2 linked regions of the Drosophila melanogaster genome follow. The protein of the gene in region 1 purifies or fractionates together with the protein of each later gene. This does not show direct contact. Each region holds a gene or a part of one and is shown in the gene's direction. Other genes may lie near its edges.

Region 1 (7,476 bases):
CCGAGCCAGGAATGTCCATCCTAGAGCTCGCCATGAAGGCGAAGTGCTTTCCCACGGAGAGTAAGTTATCTTTCTCTTTGGAAATATGGGGCATAATCGATTTGTGATCACTCTTTAGCGGATGCTGTACGCATTATAAACGCAGGCGGATTTTACGTTAACCAGAAGCGGGTGCAGAATATCGCCGAAGTGCTAACTACGGGCGTGCACATCCTGCGCAACGGAATTTCTCTGCTGCGCGTGGGCAAACGCAACTTCTATATTGTGCGCTGGCAATAGTTAACAGTAAACCTCTTATCCGGTAATGTTAACTTTTAATTGTTGTTAAATAATCATAGAATGGCTTACATTGTAAGAACTTATGCTATTTATGTGGGTCTGGGGGCGGGCTTTTTGCGCCACCGCTTTCGCGCCAGCATTTCCTTGGCCTTCTCCTTTTTCAGGTCCTTGTCGTAAAACTTGCCGCTCTTCGTGAAGGTCTTCTGCTCGTTGCGCATCTCGGCCAGCTTTCGGTTCTTCTGTTTGATGATGTTCTTCTTGTTGGCCGACTTCTTCTTGCCCGCCTCGGAGATCTGCACCTTGATGTTGCGTCCCTGCAGCTCTGTGTTGTGCAGCTGGAAGGCATTCTGGAAACTGCTTAGGTCGGCCATTTCCACAAAGGCGAAGCCCCCTCGTCGCTTCTTGGGAATGCGGATAGACTTGACCGTGCCTGCCGCAGAGAAGTGCAGCTCCAGGTCGTCCTTTGTGGTTTCGAAGTTCAGGTTCGTCACGTACAGGACGTGTCTGTTGGTTTTGGAGGCTCCTCGAAGCAGTGAACTCAGCTGGTCACTGGTTATCTGCCCATTTTCCGCAGATTCCTCTTCCTCGGCTCCGGAAGCAGCACTGCCCTCAGCGGCTGCCTCGTCGTCGGACTTGGCCTCATCCTCGCTCTTACTATCCTCCGGGTCACTGGGATTCCGTCCGTCCTCCTTGTCCACATACGTGCCCTCGAAGATCTCCCTTCGCTTCTGGTCATCGAAGTTTCCCAATAGATCCGCACTGTCGTCGTTGACTGTGCGTTGAACTCGCTTGGGATTGAAGAAAGCCTCCACCTCATAATCGCTGCCAGAATCACTGGCCATCGTGATATTTCTGGGGGAGATTGCAGTGCACACCGATACGCAGACACCACCACGTGGGATTCCCTCTGAATGGCAAATCTGTGCGGTCCCAGACATTTTCCAGCACTGGCTAATTGCGCGCCAAGAAATTCAAATCCCAGGCCATATTGCAATCGCAGCTTGTTAGAAACCGGTTGCAACTGCGGGAGCAAAATCAGACTGCTAATGGAGTTATGCGAAAATAATGCTAATCGGCGTTAGCATCGAAGGAACCGGTTAGCTCTTATCAGCTAAAAATTAATCGTGCGGTGCTGACAATTGATGAACGTGGTTGTTTTGGGAATCTTCCGCACAGATCTCCAAAGATAACCCCCCGAATATGATATGCCGAGTGGGGCGATAATTAATGCCTGCAGAATGACTGCATCTATGTCTTTTGTTTAATTAAGACAAACGACCGCTGGGAGCCAGTTATGAAGAAAATTTATGCAGTTGGTGATTCCGGCCGGTAAAATGTCAGTGGAGAGCTACATATAAAAGCGCAATTTTCGGCAACCAGCAGTCAAAATTTTATCGCTATCTATCAGCACACACATCCCCTTTCCAACCATGAAGTTTGTGGTAAGTGGCATCGAAATTAGATTTTGGGGACCTCTGAACAACGATTTGTCTTTTAGATCGTTCTTGCCTGCCTTTTGGCCGTGGTCTTCGCCAACGAGGAGGCTGATGTTGTAAAGAGCGACTCCGAGGTTAACTTGCTGGACTTTAACTACGCTTATGAGCTATCCAACCATATTCGCGCCGTGCAAACTGGAGCCTTGAAGGAGCACGACAACTGGGTGGTTTCCGGGGAGTACGAGTACGTGGCCCCCAACGGCAAGACCGTCAAAGTGGTCTACACCGCCGATGAAACCGGCTACCACCCAAAGGTCGTCGAGGCCTAATGAACAGGACCCACTCCCGAAGACCGAAATAAAAAATTAAATCCATTGCAGCAGCGAACATTTTGAATTTCCGTTCTTTTTCTTTTGTGTGAATAGACACTCTTCTTCTTTCTGCCACTAAAATCTAGGGCTGGCAAATTACGAGCGAAATTTTATACAATGTTATCGCTTGTCTCGCAAATTTGCATTAATGTGTAAAGTTAAGTAAACTCATTAAAACTATGTCTGGGCAGCCAACAGCCGTGGACTGCTTAGAGAGCAGTGGAAGCACAGTGGAGGATGTCCAAGAAACACCGGCGTCGAGGGAAAAAAGTTACGGGTTGCCGGTGCGCAAAGGAGAAAATAGCTTGGAGTCTCCTGCAGAACAAGCCGCAAAGGATGTGGAAATTGAGGAACTGACACACAGTGAAGCAATCGCCGCCACCGGTTCAACCAGGAAGCAGTGCCCATATGGAGGTAAGGCCCCTGATGAACCTGGAAAGTTGGCCGACGAATCGGAGGACCGCAAGGGAGAGAACACGAAAGCCATTGCAAGCAGCCCGGTTTTGGTAGCTGTGGATTCGGACAGCAGTGTTGAGCTAATAGAGAGTCCTGTCAAATTCTCCTCCGCCAACGAAAGTGAGAAAGATCCGCCAAAACCAGATGCTGTCAATGAAGCTGCGGCTAAAGAGGCCGAGGAAATGACTGATAGCAGCATCAGCAGTCCCACATCCGAAAGTTTTCCTGAAAAAGATGAAAAGACCAATAAGGAAAATGAGCAAGAACCTCCTGGCATGGAGGTAGATCAGGACGTCGAGGAGTCAATAAGTCGACCAGCAGAAGAATACAAAATTGAGAATACATTAAAAGGTCACAAGCGTATTAGCTTAACGGAAATCGAAGAACACAAAATTGTTGATAAAAAAGACGATGTCCTAGAGGTGGAGCTTGAAAAGGGCACTGCTCCGAAAGCTGCAGAAGACGAGAAGCTGAACGCTTTGTTATCAGATGGAGATGTCTTCTACGACAAGGAATGTGTCAACTGCAATTGCACAAAGCTTCATAAACAGTACGTGTTGGCTAACATGGCCACTTTAAACTTTTACCAGGTGCTCCGAAAGTCTTCCAAGCAGCAGTTCCTCTGCATGGGATGCCATGACACAGCAATGGACTTGTATGAGGTCAACTAGCATATTTATTAACTTAAGAGGGAAACTTAGAACGTATTTCTTTATTTAGGAGTATGCTGGACAACTAATGGCCAAGCAGCCGCTGCTGCTAAAGGATTTCCATCAGGATCACGCCGACTTTGTGGCTCTGGACAGCAGCGATGAGGAGGAAGAGGAGAAGCAGCCAGGTGAGACTGCTATCATGATAAATAAACAATAGCAAAAAAAAAAACGTACTAAATATATTTTATCCGCACAGAAAAATCGGACTTTTCGAAAAACAAGCTGCAGCTCATCGAAGATGAACTCGATGATGCCATCAAAAATGTACTTAACAAGGTGGATTTTACGGCTCAGCTGTCCTGGTCAAAAACTATTCTCCAGGCGAAAGCAGACCACTTGGAGCGACAATTCGCACTGGCAGATGTGGAACTCGAAAAAGTTCAGACCACCGCTGACAAAATGCACTGCGCTTTGTATAACTCGTGTCCGGTGGCACACAAACATCTGCCCACCCTGGACATTGAACCCAGTGACTATGTGGTAAGTAAGAAGTGATGCCGTTTGGATCTGATTTAATACAACCATTTACTCAGCATGAAGTTCCACCTCCTGGCGAAATCGTGCGTCCTCCAATACAGTTGGGAGAGACATACTACGCTGTTAAGAACAAGGCTATTGCCAGCTGGGTGTCCATAAAGGTAATCGAGTTTACAGAGAGCACCGCCATCAACGGAAACACGATGAAGAGCTACAAGATTAGGTACCTCAACACTCCGTACCAGATGATCAAGACAGTGACGGCCAAGCACATTGCCTACTTCGAACCACCGCCAGTGCGACTGACCATTGGTTAGTTCCCAATAGACCGGTTATTTATCAATCTATAAACTAACCCACTCATTGTGCACTAGGTACCCGCGTGATTGCGTACTTCGATGGCACCACTTTGTCGCGGGGCAAGGATAAGGGCGTGGTGCAGAGCGCCTTTTATCCAGGCATCATCGCTGAGCCGTTGAAGCAGGCCAATCGCTACCGCTACCTAATATTCTACGACGATGGGTACACTCAGTACGTTCCGCACCGCGATGTCCGTCTAGTTTGCCAGGCTTCCGAGAAAGTGTGGGAGGACGTACACGCCGCATCGCGCGATTTCATACAGAAGTACGTGGAGAAGTACTCCGTGGATCGTCCAATGGTGCAATGCACCCGGGGACAAAGTATGACCACTGAATCGAACGGGACCTGGCTGTACGCGCGCGTCATTGACATCGACTGCAGCTTGGTGTTGATGCAGTTTGAGGGCGACAAAAACCATACGGAGTGGATATACAGGGGTTCATTGCGCTTGGGTCCTGTCTTCAGGGAAACCCAGAACAATATGAACAGTTCAAGCGCACAGCAGCTGCGTGTCCCAAGAGTAAGCATCGTGTCGATTCATCCTGCGGTCCTAACTACAAAATGTCTTTCTTTTTCAGCGCACGGAGCCCTTTATTCGGTACACCAAGGAGATGGAGTCCAGCAGCAAGGTGAACCAGCAGATGCGTGCCTTTGCCCGCAAGAGCAGCGCCTCCGCCCAAAATAACGCATTAGCGGCTGCATCTTCGGCAGCAACCCCAGCCGGAGGACGCACCAATGCAGGAGGTGTCAGCACCAGTAATAGCGCAAGTGCTGTGCGACACCTAAACAACTCGACAATCTACGTGGACGACGAGAACAGGCCCAAGGGCCATGTAGTCTACTTTACAGCCAAGCGGAATCTGCCTCCCAAAATGTACAAGTGCCACGAGTGCAGCCCGAACTGCCTCTTTAAGATCGTTCACCGTCTGGACAGCTACAGTCCGTTAGCGAAGCCTCTGCTTTCTGGCTGGGAACGTCTTGTCATGCGGCAGAAGACCAAGAAGTCTGTGGTATACAAGGGACCTTGTGGCAAAAGCTTGCGCAGCCTGGCCGAAGTTCACAGGTACCTTCGAGCTACTGAAAATGTGTTGAACGTAGACAATTTTGACTTTACGCCCGACCTCAAGTGTCTGGCCGAGTACTCCATTGATCCCTCGATCGTGAAGGACACGGACATTTCAAAGGGGCAGGAGAAGATGGCGATTCCGCTGGTAAACTACTACGACAACACCCTGCCGCCCCCATGCACCTACGCGAAGCAGCGCATCCCTACCGAGGGTGTTCATCTGAATCTGGACGAGGAGTTCCTCTTGTGCTGCGACTGCGAGGACGACTGCTCGGTAAGACGTCTTACAGATCTGATTACCTCAAATTATACCCAGCCGCCCACTATTTTGTGTATCCCTATCAGGACAAGTCAAAGTGCGCCTGTTGGCAGCTAACGGTGGCGGGCGTGCGGTACTGTAACCCGAAGAAACCCATCGAGGAGATAGGCTACCAGTACAAGCGGCTCCACGAGCACGTGCCCACCGGCATCTACGAGTGCAACTCGCGCTGCAAGTGCAAGAAGAATTGCCTGAACCGGGTGGTGCAGTTCTCCCTAGAGATGAAACTGCAGGTGTTCAAGACCTCAAATCGTGGATGGGGCTTGCGCTGCGTTAACGACATCCCCAAGGGTGCTTTCATCTGTATTTACGCCGGCCATCTGCTCACGGAGACGATGGCCAACGAAGGCGGACAGGACGCCGGCGACGAGTATTTCGCGGACTTAGATTACATAGAGGTCGCTGAACAGTTAAAAGAGGGATACGAGTCGGAGGTGGACCACTCGGACCCGGACGCCGAGGAGGACAACGGGGGACCCGATGCCGAGGACGATGACGACTTCCGGCCAAACTATCACTACCAGCGCAAAATCAAGCGCTCTTCCAGAAGCGGCTCCACGCAGAACAGCTCCACTCAGAGCAGCGAGTTGGACTCGCAGGAGCGTGCGGTGATCAACTTTAACCCAAATGCTGATCTGGACGAGACGGTGCGGGAGAACTCGGTGCGGAGGCTTTTCGGCAAGGACGAGGCGCCCTACATCATGGACGCCAAGACAACGGGCAACCTTGGACGCTATTTCAACGTGAGTTGGAAGTTTTTTGTTATTTTGCCGTGTGGCTGATTCTCTTCTTCTCCCGCAGCACTCGTGCAGCCCCAATCTCTTCGTGCAGAACGTGTTCGTGGATACTCACGACCTGCGTTTCCCCTGGGTTGCCTTCTTCTCGGCCGCGCACATCCGCTCCGGCACCGAGCTGACTTGGAACTACAATTACGAGGTGGGCGTGGTGCCCGGCAAGGTGTTGTACTGCCAGTGCGGGGCCCCCAATTGCCGCCTTCGTCTGCTCTAAGTTCTAGCTTAAGTTAGAGATCCATACAGGAAATATACTCATTAAAGAAGAATTAGAATTAAAAATTTAAACTTTAAACATTATCTGTTCCGTTAGGGTAACGGAAACATTGCATTTTTATAAGCTACTGCTGTTCTGCACCGTCCGTTTCAAAGTACACAATTTTCTTCACGTTTAGTGTTAAAGGAATAAATATAGACAAATGAATTTTAAAAAATTATACTTTAAAAAAATAATAATGTTCGTTAATTTAACGGTATTAATTTATGTGGTATTTTAACGCATTTTACCTAGTGGTATACTTAATCATCAGCCGTACGGTATTTTTAATCGTTATCCGAACGGTCACACTATCCACCGAGCAAAAAAGCAAATTTAGGCTTTTTAAAATTCGAGAGTAGCTAAATTAGGGGCCGCAATGCGCCAAGCTCACCTGTAAGTGGCTCCAGCAAGTGTCTCGTCGCAGGTGCACAGGTGCTAGGCAGCAGGACTCCGCCGACGGCTGACTAAGAGCAGCTTATCCGCCCCTTGGGAAGAAAAAATCGATTTTGTGATAACGGGCTTACGCTTACGCGTTTTTGCACTGCTAGTCGGAACCAATTGCCAGTAGACTCCACACCATGAATGTGGACTTTGCGAGGGTGTGCGGGAAGCACATAGGCGTCTACGAGGCCTACTACAAACTGGTAAGCGCACCACGCCTCCAAGCCGCACTGTTACCAGGATGGCGGCCAATGTTGAGCATCCGTATCCACACCCACCCTCTATCGATTTTTGCAGATTGACCCCAAAGGCACAGGGGCAATCGAGGCCATGACTGCGGCCAAGTTTCTCAAGAAGTCGGGCCTTAGCGACGTTGTGCTAAGCAGGATCTGGGACCTGTCTGATCCGAGCGGCAAGGGCTTTCTGGACAAGCCGGGCTTTTTTGTAGCCCTTAAGCTGGTGTCCCTGTCGCAGGCGGGACAGGTGGCCAGCATGGCCAACATCTACC
Region 2 (4,912 bases), about 14 Mb from region 1:
ACGCATATCCAGGACGTAATACAGTGTCTTGCCCTTCACCTTAATGGGTAGCTGCACCCTGGCCATGTTCCGTGATTCCTCGGCGGAGACGCACTTTAATGGCACGGTCATAATGCGATTCCGGTTGAAGGGACCGTAGGTCACAAAGGAAACGCTCTGACCACCCTTTCTCAAGATAAGAAAACGCACCGATCGCAGGGTAAACATCCAGACAGCAAACAGTATGCCATATCCTAAAATGTTGGTTGAGTTTTATTTTCGGCTTGCCGAGAACGTAGTAAACCACTCTTACCTATCAGAAAGCTACAGGCTGTAATGCCATTTCTGTACTTATTATCGCCCAGATTTATGCGCTGGAACCACTTCAGCTCCTCTCCGGGTTTTTCCACCACTGGAGCATCCTTAAGCGTCGTGAAGGCGAAGTGCGAGAGATATGTCCAGAAAACAAACTGACACACCCCGAAAAAGTTAAGCATCTGGTAGAATCGGGGGTTTTCATACTTGAAAAGTATTATGTCCTTGGGGACACTGGTGTTCACATCGAAGGGGGCGGCTTGGGAGGAGAATCTCTTTATCGTGGAAGTAACCGGCGTTTTTGTTACAATGGCCGGAGCTGCCAGTCTGAAACTCTGGAGGCTAAGGCGCTTGATGGAGTTGACGCCCTGCCGCAGGGCAAAATTCAGCAGATTGCTCATCTTAATTGAATAATTCCCGCATTTGTTATTATAAAACAAATTAACCTATAATCTACAGATGTTTTTGTTTTGTTCCGTTTGCTATTGGTTCACTAGCTCCGGAACTGGAACTAGTTCAACAAAGCAGCCATCAGGGCTGGCACATGCTGACTCCGTTCACTAGTTCACCCATTGGAACAATTAACGAAAATAACACGATTTTTGCAATGTTCACCGTTGTATTTCATGAGAACGTCACATTACTTAAACGGGCCGAAAACATTTGTCAATATGATTCAGTTTTAAGCAAAAGAAGGGACAGGGGAGATCACGTCTTAGTTCCAACTGGCACTTAATAGTTCTGCTCCCATAAATAAAACGTTTAGCTATACAGCCCTAGTAACAACATATGATTTTGTTTGGTTCCAAACTAGGGATGTACACGTGCATGAACTGCATAACGTTTTTTATTTTTGTATATAAATACTATAGAAATGCTGCTTCTCCTCAGCTATTAAATATACATCCTTTTATAATATTACTATCGTAATGAGAAGGTAACCAGTTTAAGTTATATCTGGTCATCATGTTAATAATAATAATAATAATAATAATACAAATTGCGTAAAAATGCAAAGTTGAATATAAGATAAAATAAGTTTTGCCAAAATCCAACCTAAATAAATACAAAAATAATAAGTATTGTTAGAAACGTCCATAAAAAATGTCTTCTCGATGCGTATCAGAAATCGGCATCCGGAATCACGCGCCAATCTCTATTCCAAGTGCCGCTAGCTTGCAATCTGGGCGCTGCTCTTCGGAACCAGTTGTGCATAGACTGGTTCTTTTCGGCACCTTCTGTTGTTGTGCGATTTTAGTCTGTGTTTCAGTCTTCGTCGTTTAAGGGCATCGGAAGTGGAGTTGCCTGCGAATTGTAAACAAATCACGGAGAAGCTGTTAAATTCATTCAAATCATTGACATTTGATAGTTGCCGTTAGACCACAAGTCATATTTCAATAGTTTTCGGTAATATATAAGTTAATAAACGAGTTTGTCGTGTCGTAGAAAGGTAAGTGTAGTTTTTTTTATCCATTTTATGTTATATTTATAATTTTCTTTATAAAAATACCCTGTAATATAATGGTCCAATCGAATGGTACATTTGGGATTTGCATTTTTTTTACTGGGTTTTGAAGTTTTTTTTTATTTGGACTGGGTACGGGTACCATACGCCAGATATGGTACGAGTCTCTTTAAAGACATTTGTGTTTTCAGGGTTGTCAAGTGACCGCGATTTGCAAATCAGGCGAAATCTGATATATATCTGGATTTGTTACTATGCTATATTTTAGACTAGACTACCGACGTGTAGGCAAGACTATATACCGCAATGCCATTGCAATAGGACAAAAAATGACCTGCCGGTGGCAACCCTGCGCGACATCATGGTCTCAATTATACATTTAAAGACATTTGATTTGCGTCTAATCGGACACATCGAGGTTTTATATTATATTCATGATAAACATAATGCATACCTGGCAACCCTAAAAACATAAAATTGTACAATAGGTGAATAAAAACGCCGCCCGTTTTGCTTTTGCTTCTGCTTGCAACCTGCTCGTTTTAGGTTTTTCGGGGTTTAGTCTTTATCGAACGTCTGATACCAGAAACATGCAGAGGGCGCCGAGGGGATTTCAAAAATGTCCTTGCTTTCGTAAAGCATGCAAAAACTTGGATGTTTTTCGATCTAACCTCACTCTGCATCAAAATCGATACGTAACCTAAAAAGAATGTAAATGCGTTGCAAAATCGCACAAATACACGTTCTGATATACATACACGCTCACACCGATGTGCCGTTGCTACAACGAACTTAACTGGTGTGTGTGCGCGTGTTAGAGCGGGACAGCTATAATAGACATATAGCCCAAAATTGGCTTAAATACAAGACCGAACTTTAAAGACGATAAATTGGCCATATATACTTTAAGTTGCAAAAATACGACACCTAAACATGTTTGTTATCTACATTTGTGTGTATAAGCAACGGTTTTAATGGACCTAAGCATCTTGAAAAAAGTATTGCCATCAGAGCAAGTCGAAATTTAATGATCCAATGTCACTAGCTTCTAGGATCAATTTCTTTAATAGAGCTGATATCGAAGGTTTTAGCATTTCATCTACAAAAACAACGACTTTACGCCTCTATTTTTGTTTGCCCGGTGTTGTAGTTGTTGCTTTCGGCTTGCTGCTGTATCTTTGTCGTGCTGTGTTTGGCGCTACGCGAACTTTATTCAATTCCTACATACAGGCAAATATATATAGCCACGTGCATATATAAATTTGGCCTCTTGCTCTCTCTTGCAATTACTCTCCGGCCGCTCTCTCTGTCCGTCCCGCTCACTCCGCAACTTTCTACAAAACCGGTATCCTGGCAAGGTCCTAAGTTCGTTTCGAAAAGACCAGAAGGACGGACGGACTATAGGTTCTAAGTTTTGAAAGTTTGGAAAGTTTGGAAAGTTTCTTTTTTTGACAGGGTTACATTCTGTTACATTTTTGCTTCAGCCTTCTCTGATTCCACATAATCTTTGCGTTCGGCCTCCATCTACAAATCATCTATTTATTAACACTGGTTGGAGCTGTGTGTAGTTGCACTAAGAAATGGATATTCCATAATGTTCTTTACTTATATTGCTCCCCTATTAATTTGTAAACGTATAGTCGTCCCGCTCTAGCTGCCTGTTTCCTCATCTCACCCTGCCGCTCGCGACCAACAAAACGCGTTCTATTTGCGTTATTATTAAACGCTTTGCTTTTTACTCGTTGTTATCAAACAATGTTTTTTGATTCAATGAGGATCCCTGCTCACTTCATTTCGATTTTTATACCATCCCCTATTGCTTTTATTTTTATAATTTTATGGAGAAACTGCCATACCAAAAGAGACTGCCAACTTGCCATAGAGCACAATAACAATGAGGACTGTAGCTTTGCCCTATTTTTCGCGAAAGGTTAAAGTTCAAGATGTGAATGTAGTTTCCTTAAACTCCAGGTGGAATTACATTATCGAATCTTATCATATCATCCCGAGACACGCCCTCCCGCCGACTATCTTCCTCTTACCCGTACGCCCCTGCCGCTTTTACCGCTCTCAGCTGTTTGCTCTCTCGCTCTCATTTTCGTTCGTCGAGAGCTGGTTTGGCGTTCACCTCGTTCATTTTTGCACTAAACGCGGCAAGATGTTGAAGTCATTTTGATTTCTTCGAGTGTAGCCAAATCAAAATAAATCGTTAACAGGGTATCAGGAAGTTTAAGCATGTAAGTTACTAAACTCAATATAACAATGTGCAGTTACGCTATCACGTAAAAACGCAACAAACTCAACATAACCCCACTTTCGATAGTAAAAACTATAACTATAAAGTTATGAGCATAAATTAATAGGTAGCAGTTAATTTTCTCTTTCTCCCCATATTCGCATTTTTCGTCACGCACTTTTTTCCCTTGCACGAATATTTATCGTCGCTTTGCTTTGTCTTTTCGCTACAATCGTGTAGTTATTGTTGCGTTCGGAAAGCGACGAACGCTTAATACTACCAACAACAAGAACAATAACAACGGAGTAGATACACACCAAACCGAACACAAAAAAAAGTAAAAAAAAAAAACAAAAATGTTGGTCTTGAGTTATGATGTTCCTATCATCCTTTGACTATGGAACATCCATACTCAAAGATAACATTGCTTTAATGGCTTCGTATACTTTAGAGTTAGAAAGGACTTCAAAATGAATTCGGGAAAGCGGTTTATGAGTTTTGGCGGAGTCTTAATAAAATATCGCTGGCTTCAGACTCACTTAAAGGTATAATTCCCAAGTTATTGCATTAGCATTTTGACTGGCGAGAACTGGGAATAAGCTTTTAGCGAGCTTTCTTTTAAAAGCTATTTACAAGAAATTTTTGAATGAGATTGAATTTAATTTTTAAAAAAAATATGGCGGTAGCAGGGTTGTGACATGTTTGTTATATCCCAGAGTTGTCAACATACGTCGTGAACTATAATATGGTTTTACTTTTAGCAATTCAATGACGATTAAGTAAATCGATAAAAACATTCAAAATGATGGGAGTAAACCAGACCATGGAACTGAAGGAACTCTCTACAGAGGAAGCTTTGATGCGAACCCTATCCACAGAGCTCGGCAATGAAGTGGAACCTCTCTCCACCCCCGGTA

Evidence for each region. The genes of interacting proteins can lie anywhere in the genome.
Region 2: the proteins of egg (region 1) and wde purify together in Drosophila melanogaster (affinity purification with western blotting; 4 studies listed by BioGRID, with this or other methods). This does not show direct contact.

Annotation. Positions count from the first base shown.
Region 1 is NT_033778.4:24,774,603-24,782,078, reverse strand, and holds egg (eggless), read left to right. Parts: upstream 1-2,177; 5' UTR 2,178-2,265; coding exon 2,266-3,204; intron 3,205-3,262; coding exon 3,263-3,380; intron 3,381-3,451; coding exon 3,452-3,735; intron 3,736-3,788; coding exon 3,789-4,044; intron 4,045-4,106; coding exon 4,107-4,612; intron 4,613-4,670; coding exon 4,671-5,432; intron 5,433-5,503; coding exon 5,504-6,220; intron 6,221-6,278; coding exon 6,279-6,485; 3' UTR 6,486-6,545; downstream 6,546-7,476. Other genes in the region: TyrRS-m (Tyrosyl-tRNA synthetase, mitochondrial), read left to right, coding at 1-60, 119-279; CG3594 (uncharacterized protein), read right to left, coding at 369-1,121; Lcp9 (larval cuticle protein 9), read left to right, coding at 1,710-1,721, 1,778-2,044; Eps-15 (epidermal growth factor receptor pathway substrate clone 15), read left to right, coding at 7,106-7,171, 7,266-7,476. UniProt on the Drosophila melanogaster protein: Histone methyltransferase that specifically trimethylates 'Lys-10' of histone H3 (H3K9me3) in ovary. H3K9me3 represents a specific tag for epigenetic transcriptional repression by recruiting Su(var)205/HP1 to methylated histones.
Region 2 is NT_033778.4:10,805,572-10,810,483, reverse strand, and holds the start of wde (windei), read left to right. Parts: upstream 1-1,545; 5' UTR 1,546-1,744; intron 1,745-3,946; exon of another isoform or gene 3,947-3,996; intron 3,997-4,756; 5' UTR 4,757-4,797; coding exon 4,798-4,909; intron 4,910-4,912. Other genes in the region: CG12935 (uncharacterized protein), read right to left, coding at 1-233, 293-695.